2 linked regions of the Xenopus tropicalis genome follow. The protein of the gene in region 2 interacts with the protein of the main gene of each other region in a pairwise test. Links are inferred from orthologs where the notes say so. Each region holds a gene or a part of one and is shown on either strand. Other genes may lie near its edges.

Evidence for each region. The genes of interacting proteins can lie anywhere in the genome.
Region 1: the proteins of lrp1 (region 2) and mapk8ip1 interact in a two-hybrid assay, tested with the Homo sapiens proteins (2 studies listed by BioGRID). The link is inferred for Xenopus tropicalis from reciprocal best matches to the Homo sapiens genes LRP1 and MAPK8IP1.

The regions. Positions count from the first base shown.
Region 1 is NC_030680.2:13,633,261-13,639,705, reverse strand, and holds part of mapk8ip1 (C-Jun-amino-terminal kinase-interacting protein 1), read left to right. Parts: intron 1-4,145; coding exon 4,146-4,227; intron 4,228-4,306; coding exon 4,307-5,119; intron 5,120-5,236; coding exon 5,237-5,312; intron 5,313-5,482; coding exon 5,483-5,655; intron 5,656-5,814; coding exon 5,815-5,921; intron 5,922-6,355; coding exon 6,356-6,445. UniProt on the Homo sapiens protein: The JNK-interacting protein (JIP) group of scaffold proteins selectively mediates JNK signaling by aggregating specific components of the MAPK cascade to form a functional JNK signaling module. Required for JNK activation in response to excitotoxic stress.
Region 2 is NC_030678.2:139,398,302-139,405,285, reverse strand, and holds the start of lrp1 (prolow-density lipoprotein receptor-related protein 1), read right to left. Parts: upstream 3,900-6,984; 5' UTR 3,497-3,899; coding exon 3,406-3,496; intron 1-3,405. UniProt on the Homo sapiens protein: Endocytic receptor involved in endocytosis and in phagocytosis of apoptotic cells. Required for early embryonic development. Involved in cellular lipid homeostasis.

The DNA.
Region 1 (6,445 bases), on a different chromosome or scaffold from region 2:
AGACATACACGGGCATACATGGGCATACAGGAGCATACAGGGGCATACACAGACATACACGGGCATACATGGGCATACAGGAGCATACTCTGGCATACAGGAACATACAGGAGCATACAGGGGCATACACAAGCATACACAAGCATACAGGAGCATACACGGGCATACACAGACATACATGGGCATACATGGGCATACAGGAGCATACATGAGCATACAGAAGCATACACAGGCATACATGAGCATACAGGGGCATACACAGGCATACAGGAGCATACACGGGCATACATGGGCATACAGGAGCATACAGGAGCATACACAGACATACATGGGCATACATGGGCATACAGGAGCATACTCTGGCATACAGGAACATACAGGAGCATACAGGGGCATACAGGAGCATACAGGGGCATACACAAGCATACACAAGCATACAGGAGCATACACGGGCATACACAGACATACATGGGCATACATGGGCATACAGGAGCATACATGAGCATACAGAAGCATACACAGGCATACAGGAGCATACAGGGGCATACACAGGCATACAGGAGCATACACGAGCATACAGGATCATACAGGGGCATACACAAGCATACAGAAGCATACAGGAGCATACACGGGCATACACAGACATACACGGGCATACATGGGCATACAGGAGCATACAGGAGCATACACAGGCATACAGGAGCATACACAGGCATACAGGAGCATACATGGGCATACTGGAGCATACATGGGCATACAGGAGCATACAGGGGCATACACAGGCATACAGGAGCATACACGGGCATACACAGACATACACGGGCATACATGGGAATACAGGAGCATACAGGTGCATACACAGACATACACGGGCATACAGGAGCATACTCGGGCATACAGGAGCATACAGGAGCATACAGGGGCATACACAGGCATAAAGGAGCATACACGGGCATACACAGACATACATGGTCATACAGGAGCATAAACGGGCATACAGGAGCATACACGGGCATACGGGAGCATACACGGGCATACACAGACATACACGGTCATACAGGAGCATACACGGGCATACAGGAGCATACACGGGCATACAGGAGCATACACGGGCATAAACGGATATACAGGAGCATACACGGGCATACAGGAGCATACAGGAGCATACACGGGCATACAGGAGCATACACAGGCATACAGGAGCATACACAGGCATACATGAGCATACAGGAGCATACACAGGCATACAGGAGCATACACAGGCATACAGGAGCATACACAGGCATACAGGAGCATACAGGAGCATACACGGGCATACAGGAGCATACAGGAGCATACACAGGCATACACAGGCATACAGGAGCATACACAGGCATACAGGAGCATACAGGAGCATACACAGGCATACAGGAGCATACACAGGCATACACAGGCATACAGGAGCATACAGGAGCATACACAGGCATACAGGAGCATACAGGGGCATACACAAGCATACACAAGCATACAGGAGCATACACGGGCATACACAGACATACATGGGCATACATGGGCATACAGGAGCATACATGAGCATACAGAAGCATACACAGGCATACAGGAGCATACAGGGGCATACACAGGCATACAGGAGCATACACGAGCATACAGGATCATACAGGGGCATACACAAGCATACAGAAGCATACAGGAGCATACACGGGCATACACAGACATACACGGGCATACATGGGCATACAGGAGCATACAGGAGCATACACAGGCATACAGGAGCATACACAGGCATACAGGAGCATACATGGGCATACTGGAGCATACATGGGCATACAGGAGCATACAGGGGCATACACAGGCATACAGGAGCATACACGGGCATACACAGACATACACGGGCATACATGGGAATACAGGAGCATACAGGTGCATACACAGACATACACGGGCATACAGGAGCATACTCGGGCATACAGGAGCATACAGGAGCATACAGGGGCATACACAGGCATAAAGGAGCATACACGGGCATACACAGACATACACGGTCATACAGGAGCATAAACGGGCATACAGGAGCATACACGGGCATACGGGAGCATACACGGGCATACACAGACATACACGGTCATACAGGAGCATACACGGGCATACAGGAGCATACACGGGCATACACGGGCATAAACGGATATACAGGAGCATACACGGGCATACAGGAGCATACAGGAGCATACACGGGCATACAGGAGCATACACAGGCATACAGGAGCATACACAGGCATACATGAGCATACAGGAGCATACACAGGCATACAGGAGCATACACAGGCATACAGGAGCATACACAGGCATACAGGAGCATACAGGAGCATACACGGGCATACAGGAGCATACAGGAGCATACACAGGCATACACAGGCATACAGGAGCATACACAGGCATACAGGAGCATACAGGAGCATACACAGGCATACAGGAGCATACACAGGCATACACAGGCATACAGGAGCATACAGGAGCATACACAGGCATACAAGAGCATACACAGGCATACACAGGCATACAGGAGCATACAGGAGCATACACAGGCATACACAGGCATACAGGAGCATACAGGAGCATACTTTATGCCTGGTTCATTGATGCGATCCTCACCCGAACATCCTGTATCCTCATCATTATGATCTGTCTCCACTTGCCACACTCCCCTTATCCCTTTATCCCCCCCCCCCCCCCACTTACTCACACTTCTTTAATCCCTGTGTTACGGGGGGGCAGAAGGCAATTTCAGTATATACTGGTAGAAATATTGGGGGGCTTGCTTCTAGTTACCCCACTGAGCATCTCTCTGCCACCAGTTTTCCCCGTCTGTCTCCCCCATCTCTGCCTCCTGCGCTGTTTTTTTGAACATTTATCTTTCTCTCTTTCTCCTCAAGCTCCTCGGTTCCTCTAGTTTCACTGCCATCTCTCCCTGCCCGTCACTCCCTCACTCTATCTCTGCTCACCGGTTGCCATGGTTACGGCTGAGCTAGAATGGCCGCAGTGGCTTTAAGTGGCCCGAGATCCCTCTGCCTGACACGGCCCCTCGTATTCCCACCCTTTCAGTGCTATTATCGGATGCACAGAGAATGCCTAAATGATAAACCTCCTCACCGAGCCTACATTTCCCAGGGGGCACTGAGGTGCATTTCTGGGAAACCCCCAACATAAAGATCAAAGGATTGTGGGCAGAGTTTTCCTGGAAACGATTAGGGATCCTGAATATTAGGGCCACGATAAGATTTAAAGAGTCATCTACATGTTACAAAACAAAAGCAAAGATCTGATTGGTTGCTATGGGCAACATCGCTGTTGATGCTTGTCTCCAGTGTTAATAAATGCACCCCTAAAGCTCTGTATCGGGGAACCCCAGGCTGCTTCCCTCCCAATGCTGCCCAACAAACATGCAGTGTGTTCATCAATAACTGTAGGGGAACAGCAGGCAAGCAGTTATACCAAATGGAACAGTTCCACAGTACCCTCTGCTGGCTGCAAGTGGAATTACACTTGGTGGTAAAACCTGCAGATCCCCAGCCTCAAATCTGAGCAACCTGCCATAACCTTTAGCTAAGAATGGATCCCACACATACAAGAGCCCCTTCTCCCGACACCTAGGGACACAATAACTTCCACTGACACCATCTTGTCTTACTATCTGTTTGAGTTTCAGTCTTGTGAAACCCAATTAATAATCTGGCCAATAACCACCTCTGACGCCATGGCTTCGCCCCTACAAGGAACAACCCCGCTCCAAGAGTCATGACCCCGCCTCCCATATGTTACTTCTCCGCCCTTTTGTCCAGTTTTGGCCAAGGTCAATGGTGGTTAGTTGCAAATCTTACCTCACTATGCAGTAAGGGACCCCAGATATGGTAGGACCTGGGGCAGTTACTGGAACTTATGCCTTTAAAAGGTGATTCTGCCTAGTTTATTGCTAGTTTGAGAGGGGGTGGCATTTGCAGCATACAAGTGCCCAAATAGGTCCAATGTATGCAATAAGGCCGCTTCCTGCAGCCCCCCAAGTCTGCTGCTGTGGGTGCCTACATATAATAGGCCAATGGGGGGAGATGTTTCATAAAGTGCAAGAGACATAAGGTTCTTCCTTTCCGTAGGACACCCTTAATAATAACTCTTCGGCGAAGAAATATAGTTGGCAGGATCGTGTGTCCCGCTCCTCATCTCCACTGAAGACAGGTAAATTGGCAAAGTGTATTTGTTATGGAGCCTGGGGGGGTTTGTCATGTTCTCCATAACCTTATTCTGTTGCCCCCAGGCGATACCACTCCCTCCAATGAGCACGTGTGTCTGAGTGACGAGGGAAACCTGCCAGCTGTCACACAAGACCGAGGCACCTCCACAGATACCCCCTGCCGGCGCCACACTTCCACCCAAAGCACCACGGACGCTTCCAACCGTTCCTCCAGCAGATGCCGCTTGGATCCCCACCGAGACCGTATCCGTTACCAGACTGACGTGAGGCTGGAGCCCACAGAGGAGATTTTCCTGACTCCTGTGCAAAGGAGCTCGGACCCCCCAGAATCTGACAGAGCCTTTGTCTCACAAGCTGGACCCTGCCGCATGTCGGTCAGCTCGGACGCAGACATTAACGTTCGCACAACTAATGGGGGGCGTCAGCAGCTGTCCATAAGCGAGGAGGAGGAGGAAGGGGAGGATGGGGTGGGATACCTAGGGTGCCCAGGCAGGGGAACAGGTCCTCAGGGCCTTCAGAGGGCTTCAGTCAGCTCAGACACCAGTGGCCTATCTTATGACTCTGTGAAATACACCTTGGTGGTGGACGAGAATGTACAATTGCAGTTGGTCAGCCTGAGGCAGTGCTATGGGGGCTATAGCGACGACAGCGACAGTGGCACTGTGTATGACAACTGCGTCTCCTCCCCCTACGAGTCTGCCATTGGGGAGGAGTATGAAGAGGAGGAAGAGGAAGATAACATTGGAGGTGCAGGGAGGGAAGGTGACCGGGTTCGAAGGTCCATGTGCCTTTCGGAATCTTCATCCCCAGACGGGGACATCTCCTACTCCAAAAAGTTCCTCAATGTCTTCATGAATGGGCGTATGAGGTGCACCGGTGAGTTCTTCTTGGAGTCGTCTGTGTATTGGACCAAGCAGGGGTGTTGGGAGGTCTCCTAGTGTATTTGTACTGTAGAAGGCCTTGTCTCTAAGTAATTCCATTGGTCTCTCTCAGGCGCTGAGTCCTTTGGGTTATTTTCATGCCTGATAAACGGTGAGGAGCGGGAGCAGACCCATCGAGCCGTATTCAGGTGACATGCCCACCTAGTCTTCTTTATTCTCATGATCTTCCTCACTCACTTTCCTCCTTGGCTCACACTGCCCCCTGTCTATTGGTTTAATCACCTCCCTGTCTTTGATTTTTAGATCCTCGCTTTCCCTAACTGTACCCCCACCCATTGTACCCCCAATCTCCCTTTAGGTTCATGCCCCGTCACCCCGATGAGCTGGAGTTGGAGGTAGAAGACCCTCTGTTGGTGGAGGTTCAGGCGGAGGACTACTGGTATGAGGCATATAACATGCGCACTGGGGAGCGCGGGATCTTCCCTGCTTACTACGCCGTACAGGTGACCAAGGAGCCGGATCCCATTGCAGGTAACAAAGGCTGTAGGAAACCTACATATATAACCCACTGATCCAGTTGACCAGAGGATCTTCTAATGGGCACATGCTCCAATGGGCAACCAACCTAGAGCAGTTTCTTGCACCCCTTAGCATTCTGATCTGCTTTATTTACTTTCCTTCTGCCCCCAGAAAGCCGAGCGCCTAATTGGGTGGATCAGTTCTGGTTGAAGTTTCTGGGTTCTGTGCAGGTTCCGTATCACAAAGGGACTGATGTTCTCTGCACCGCCATGCAAAAGGTGAGTTGTCTCCTTCCATCACTTGAGCTGGGGGGTCCTTAGGGCAACTGCTTCACCCTGCTTACTCAGGAATCCTGGGAATTGATGTTCAGTAGATGCTGGAGGACCACATGGTGGATGTCCCTAGAGCAGGGAACTGGACTTATGACTTCAGACCAATAGAGATATCAATCATGAAGTCATCAGTTTCTGAGCAATGATAAAGGGTTAGGGGATCTCCCCGTACCGTCATCCTACCTACAAGCATAATGTACCATATGAGCAGTGACTTGTAACAGACATTCTGTGAGTCAGGTGACAAGTGACATCACCAAAGTGATGACATCATTCAGTATCATCTACAAGAATATGTTTTGTGGGTTAATCATGGCCTCTGTGTATTACATAATATGTTCTGCTGGGCTTTAACCGTTCATTGACCTTTTGTGTTTCAGATCGCAGTATCCCGCCGCCTAACGGTCCTGTCCAATCCCCCGGCCAACTGTATCCTAGAGATAAGCATGCGAGGAGTGAAAATTGCGGTG
Region 2 (6,984 bases):
CGGGCCGATGCGGTTCCCGATCCGACTAGATTTTTTAACCTGCCCGATCGAGATCTGGCCGATATCAGGCCAGATATCGGTTCGGCAGGCCCGTCGGTAGTGCCCATACACGGGACGATTAGCTGCCCAATCAGTCTAAGGGATAGATATCGGCAGCTAGAATCAGCCCGTGTATGGGGACCTTAAGTCCTCTTTCACGGAGGCCTTCATTGCTATATGCTGCACATAACTTGATCCATGAGAAGTCAAGAGGCCTAATATAGATATGTCCCATATATTTTATAACCTAGGCAAATACCCCCATACCCACATACTATGTCTGTATTCCACCTCTTACAGGGAATGCCTCCTCCATTACCAATTATAGTTCTAGCTCAGGGGTCCCCAACCTATTTTACTTGTGAGCCACATTCAAATGTAAAAAGAGTCAGGGAGCAACACAAGCATGCAAAAGGTTCCTTGAAAAATATGGGTAGCTCCTATGTAGATTGGCAGCCTACAGAAAGTTCTGTTTGGCAGTACACAGTTTTGATGCAACTAAAGCTTGCCTTCAAGTCAGGAATACAAAAAGAAGCACCTACTTTGAAGACACGGAGAGCAACACCCAGTGGGTTGGTGAGCAACATATTGCTCACAAGCCACTAATTGCAGATCACAGTTCTAGCCAATTGCTAGGGTCAGATACAATACCACTTGCAACAGCCCTACAAATACATCTGCTGCCTGTAACAGGACTATCTGAATGAAATTCACAGGTTAAATATGACCCTCAGTCCAATACTCATGGGTCCCAACCTGCCAAAGGGTTCCTGTTGTTGCTTTGTATGAAATCTTTGTTCCCAGAACACTGGGTATAGTAAATATAATTGCACAGCACTGGTTTATACTCTGTAAAAATGACCAGGCCACCACCTGTATCAATATGAGACACAAGAGCTGCGCTCAATGACGCATGGAAAAAAACAAAATAGAACACTATCATATAATCCATCAATTGTACCCTTCCTCTTTGTATTTTAGAATGTCAGTCTTTTATAGTAATTGTATAATTAAGGTCGGCAATTGATAGTAGCTATCGTGCTAACTGATAAAGCCCCAAGCCAACGGTACAGTAGATCGCGGCAATATGGACATATATGAGAAAATTAGATAAAACCAACAAGCCTAGCAGTCCACTAGTTGTTATAGGTGCAAAAATAAATCAGGGCTCATTGGAGCTTCTATTACACAAGTGCATTCAGTTGCTGTTCTATGATGCTGTTATTTGTTCTGATCTTGACCCAGTTTTGAAATCGCTATCAAGGGGGGGGGGGGGGGGGGAGAGAAACAAAGAGGACAAAGTGGCCAAAGCTTATTTTTCATAATACAGGCATGGGATCTGTTATCCAGAATGCTTGGGAACTGTGGTTTTCTGGTAAGGGATTTTTTTTTAGAGCTCCATACCTTAAGGGAGCCCATACATGTACCGGTACCGATATTACCATACAAAACAAGGTTTGTAACGTGTATGGCCATCTTAAGTCTACTAAAACATCACTTAACCATTACTTATTAGGATTATTAGGAAGGGTTTTTTAAGCTTAGTTACCATCAAGTACAAAGTTCTGTTTTATTATTACAGAGAAAAGGGATTTTTTTAATCAGAATTATTTGCTTACAATGGAGTCTAGGGGAAATATCCTTCTCATTATTCAAAACTTTCTGCATAAAGGGTTTCCGGTTAACAAATCCCATACCTGTACTGCTATCTTCTTCAGCAACAAGCAGCTTACAAGCAAACACAATATGTGTGTGTGTGATGTGTTTACATTTCATACACCAGCAAAAGTCCAAATTTAAAGCCGATTTTGGTTACTGCGTTGGAATATTTGCCGGAATCTTTAGTACTCAGAATGGATGAGGTGGAGGGGAAAAAAAAAAAGAAGTTAGCCAAATCCATCATAGCAAGAATGAGATCATGCAGCGGACTCCTCTAACATCTGGCTCGCAAACAAGACCCTATCCAATGAATCTCCCCTTCTGTCCCTGCCTGTGTTAAATGCCATGTCACGCACTGGAGGCGCACTGCAGCCCCACTGTGTAGAGAGGAAGCCGCTGATGTGGTTGCAGATGAGGTTTGCAAATAGCAAATGGAGATGCCTTCACAATGTCAGCCTTGTTTCCCTCGTCAACAACCCTCACCGTTTCCAAGTGATGCCATTAAGGAGAAAAAAAAAAAAAAAAATACACAGAATCAAACGCCATACTGTTGACAAAGAAATATACCATAACATTCATGCCCACTGCTTCTGACACGGCCCCTTTGTACAAGGCTGCAGAATATAAAGGTAGCTCACATGCCACTCACACTGGGCCTATGGACATGCATATTTCATATCCACCTAGATTGCTTTTCTGCATCACTAACTCACATACAGGCTAGCACTACAATTTCTAGGATGGGATTGGGAGCACTGGTTTAACCCACACAGGCACACATGACAGCATTTCCAAGGGGAAGAAATCCCAGAAAGCAATTCATTGTGCAACCTGGGTGAATTCAATTGGATTCAATACAATGCAAGAGGCAAAAGGGTTGAGTACAATTTCCACACGACCACAAAAAAAAAAAAAGTAATTCTGTATAGATAATGAGAAATTGGCTGCGTAAATAGTGTTTATAAATAGATAGCACGATTGTTAGATGGCAAGCCCATACGTCAGATGCGTTATAACTAATCAATAAAAAGGGATAGCCATTGATTTAATGAGATACACACACAGGCAGGCAAGAGAAGGGCTGATTCCCCCCCACCATGTGTGGATCATTTAGAATTTCCATCCATTATGAAACCACACAGAGCAATAGAAAGAAACCAGAGCTGTGTATGGAAGCTTTGCAATCAGAGGGGCCTATTCCTCAAACCAAATTTTTGCAATGACTGAAGAAAAGACCCTCACTTGGCCAGAAACAAAACAAATCACCCCTCCCCCTCTGGCAGAAAGGGGCACCTCTGGAACAGATTAGATCCAATTGCTACAATATAACAAGACAGTTCCTAACATTGCTCTATTTCATCTGAGGAAGAAACCTCGTCACAAACTGAAGTGGCCTGCAAAGCCATAACGGTAAGGGCCGACCTGGGCACATACACTACAGGGAATTCTGGGAAATGTAGTCGAACCTTATGGTATGAATGCGGCATAGAATGTAGGAAACGGAATATCGCTCAGTGTCAGGGCTGAATAGGTGTGTGTGTGTGTTACAGACAGCCATCCTAGCGTTCCCATTCCTGAGAGTGCGATCCGATTTGCAGGCCTGCAGTGAGGGATGTCAGCACAGAGAAACCTTTACCCCATTCCCCCTCTGCCCAGTCCCGAAGCCGCTCGGTTACAGGCGCAGCACAAAGCAGGACTTCTACTCACCATCGTTGACAGAGGTCGCAACAACGTGCAAGCAACAATACAGTAATCCCAATGCGATTCCAGCTGCAACATCTGTCCTAGGAGACGGCATTGTGGGGGGAAAGGACTAGCAGGGGTTAAGGTGGGGAGGGGGTGCCTTGATCCAGTGCTTGGCCCTCGCCTGGCAGCCTCCCTCCTCCTCTTGATGCCTTGATATCCAGACGCCAGTGGCCACAGAGGGGAAAAAAGAAATCACCCAAAAACGTGAACAATTAAAGGAGGGAAGGTGGGGAGGCTGAGGCCAGCAGCAGCAGCAGCAGGGCTGCCAATGGGCTGCACACTCTCTATTCCAGTGCTGGGAAGGGGTTGATAAAGGGGAATGGGGGGGTTGGAGTGAGGGGGCATATGCAGTCCTAGCGATTCCCCTTCTCGCCCGGCAATAGCTGCAACCTGACTGGATATCCCCCCTGATTATGAGGGATTGAGGAATCCAGCAGTGTTATTAATGAGAAGGGGAATGGCTGGGGAGAGACTATGTGTGGGAGGGAGGGGAGGGAGGGGGCGTGTCTTGTACGGTTAGCCCGCCCCCACCAGCTCTTGGGATAAGCAGGCTGCGGCTTTACAAGGGGGGCGGGGGTGGTCTCTAACCTGTGGCTTCAATGTAAAGCTTAGTCAGGGCCTGTTTTAGGGCCATTTGCCTGGGGTCCCTGCACAGTATTGATAAAAACACATAGAAGATAATGACAGTTTGTCTGGTGTATAATAGCGATGTTCACCCTGCAGCTTTCAATGTCATTAGAGAATTATAGTTTAACAAAAGCCGGAGGGCTGCCGGTCGGTAGCTCCTCTCAGATTCCTAGGGACCCTTTTCTAACTCTGGCCCTGCAAGTGGGTTCCAGCTTCATTGGCACTTTGGTTCATTTGTAAGTGGCAAAGATTCAATTAACTAGAAAGAAATCAGTATAGCATAGGTCAATAGGAGCCCTATCGCCCTATGTAATTGTGTAACTCTCTCCTGGCTCCTTTTTCCCTGGTAATAGTGCCTTCTGCCCAGGAATCCCCTGTCCCCTCCTCCCTGCCATTCTCCAGCATTCATTCTAATGCTCCAGTAGCTGATGTTTTGTCTTCTGTTCAGTGGCGGAACTAGAAGTTACTGGCCCCACAGCAAAATCATTTCAGGGTCCCCCTAAAATGTGGGAATAAGGCATTTTTTTTAAAAAATACTACTTATCTTACTACTTATCATTCAGCGCCTCACTGGGGCCCCTATATATTCTGAGCCCCCAATAGTAGCTATAGAAACTGCAGATACAGGAGTTGTTATCTGGAAATTTGTTATCCAAAAATATTAGTGCCATTTCCAATAGTGTCCTATATAAATATATATTTGTATACAATGGACTTGCTTTTTCTATAAGACAGTGCCTGACGGTATTAGGGGCACTACTGCCATAAAGCTGGCTAGGAAACTCACCTCAGGTGGCAGTGCCCTGAGCGTTACCAAGGGTTGAGTAAAGCCACTCCTAGTGACATAAGGAGATGAAATTCTGATTCTGAGTTGGCTCTTCTATTGCACTCTTGCACTAGCAATGCAACCCCCCCGACCAGCTCTGTCAGGAAAAAGCAGCATTGACCTGGCCCCCTCAGGGTGGCACTTAACCCTGAAACAGCGTTGGGCAGTATGCTTTATAAATCCATGGAGCAAATAACCAGTATCAGTATCAGTAATCAATACTCCTGGGCAACACTGTTTTGCAATGAATACTTGCCACTTTTAATTATAACGGTTGTACTTTTTGGGCATATAGAACATGCCTATACTTTTTTGGCGGGAACACACTTTAAAAAAAGCTTATATAAAACATATATATTTTTTCACTTTTCTAGAAAAATGTTCATTAACCTAACTATAAATAAAAATTATGCATCTCTCACATCAGTCCCTGCCCCAGTCTAAGGTGCCCATGGCATACACACACACAAACTATGGTTAATTTTATCAGGAGCCAATAACCTGTGTGTATATTTTTGGAATAGTAATGCTATTTTTATATTGGAAATACAACAGAAACTCTTTTAAAACCCCAGTCCTAAGTTCTTAGGTCTCAATCTATTCCTCTGCAGAATATGCAGGGGTGTAGAGGAAGAAGGTGTAAGGGCCTAACTGATAACACAGTGCAATAAAGAGAAATCTCCCAAAGTTTTGGGACAATTTAAGTTTCTAGTTCTGCCACTGAGTAGAAGAGAATACGGACACCTAAGATCAGCACCATAAAGACGCATGTCTGGCACTTACAGTGTTGTCAACCTTAAGAGTCACCCAACAATACAATACACAAGCCAAACACATAAAATGAATCATGAAAGATTAAAATGTTCTCCTACTTGCCATCTTTTGGGAATCCCACTGTGTGTTATATCCTGGACAAAATTAGACCACTATATGTGTCTATGTCCTTGTTGCTGCTTTGCAGTTGGTTCTGCTGTGTAAATGTAAAAGTCTCTTCAACAGGGGACCACTTTGGTTGCTAGCCCTTGTAACTGCAATCACCATGGAGCTCCTGTTGGGTCTCATAAAAAGGTGGGGATGTTGAGAGTGAGCTTGTATGAGCATGTCCCTATGTGTTTTCATTTTGCATTAAGTTCTGTGCCCATGTTAAAGATGTTTATGTCCAGAAGTTAATGTTACCATAAATCTTGTTTTGCAGATTGTTGAGATAGCTGGGAAAGTTGTTTTGCTTCCAGACTGTTCATGCTTATATAAGAGGCCATGTCTGGACTTTCCATTACAGTACAATGGGAGATCTAGTTGATAGGGGAAGCAACAACGCTGGATTAGTGTTGATTAGTCAGTTAGAGAATACATTTTTTTATGCATAGGTATAATGAGGTTCAAAAGTACACTTGGGTTTAAATCCACTTGTGTTTTGAAGTGCACTTTTAGTTTCAGAGTACAATGGAATCTGTGTAATTCCTTCAATATAATCAAGTGCTTCTGGGGACAAAATATTGTACTGTGGTTAATAAGGAAGTCTAACTTTTGTGTCATCTTGAGTGATTTACTTTTGAGTAACTACCTCCCCTTTTCATTCGTATTCATATAATTTTGGTTATTAGCTCCAGACACATGCCTTCTGTATTTGCAAATAATTCCACTGCCCCATATTACCACAACACTTTTACAAATACAGTATGTTTGTAAGCAGCTGTATCTCTGTACAATATAAGGCGTTCACTGTGAGAAGGGTAAGGCATGGCTAGAGCTAAGAATATATATATGCACTATATTAGGAAATATCTGATGGCTTTAGAGGTACTGGTAATCTGACTTTTGTCAGTAAAGTTTATATGTCTCATTGTGTGGTTATATTAAGAATTTATATATAGTTTTGGAAGGTACTTGAAAGCAAACAACATTTTTTAGAATTCCCTTATATTTATAGTTCTTTTTAAAAATTCTGCAAACCACTATGATATAGCTGGTCAGCTCGATCAGTGTAAATGTTAATAATAATAATAATAATTCCCCACACATTCACAGTCCAGCACAGCCAATGTAAATTCCTATAAACAATGTTGTAGTGATGTACTTATTGTTGG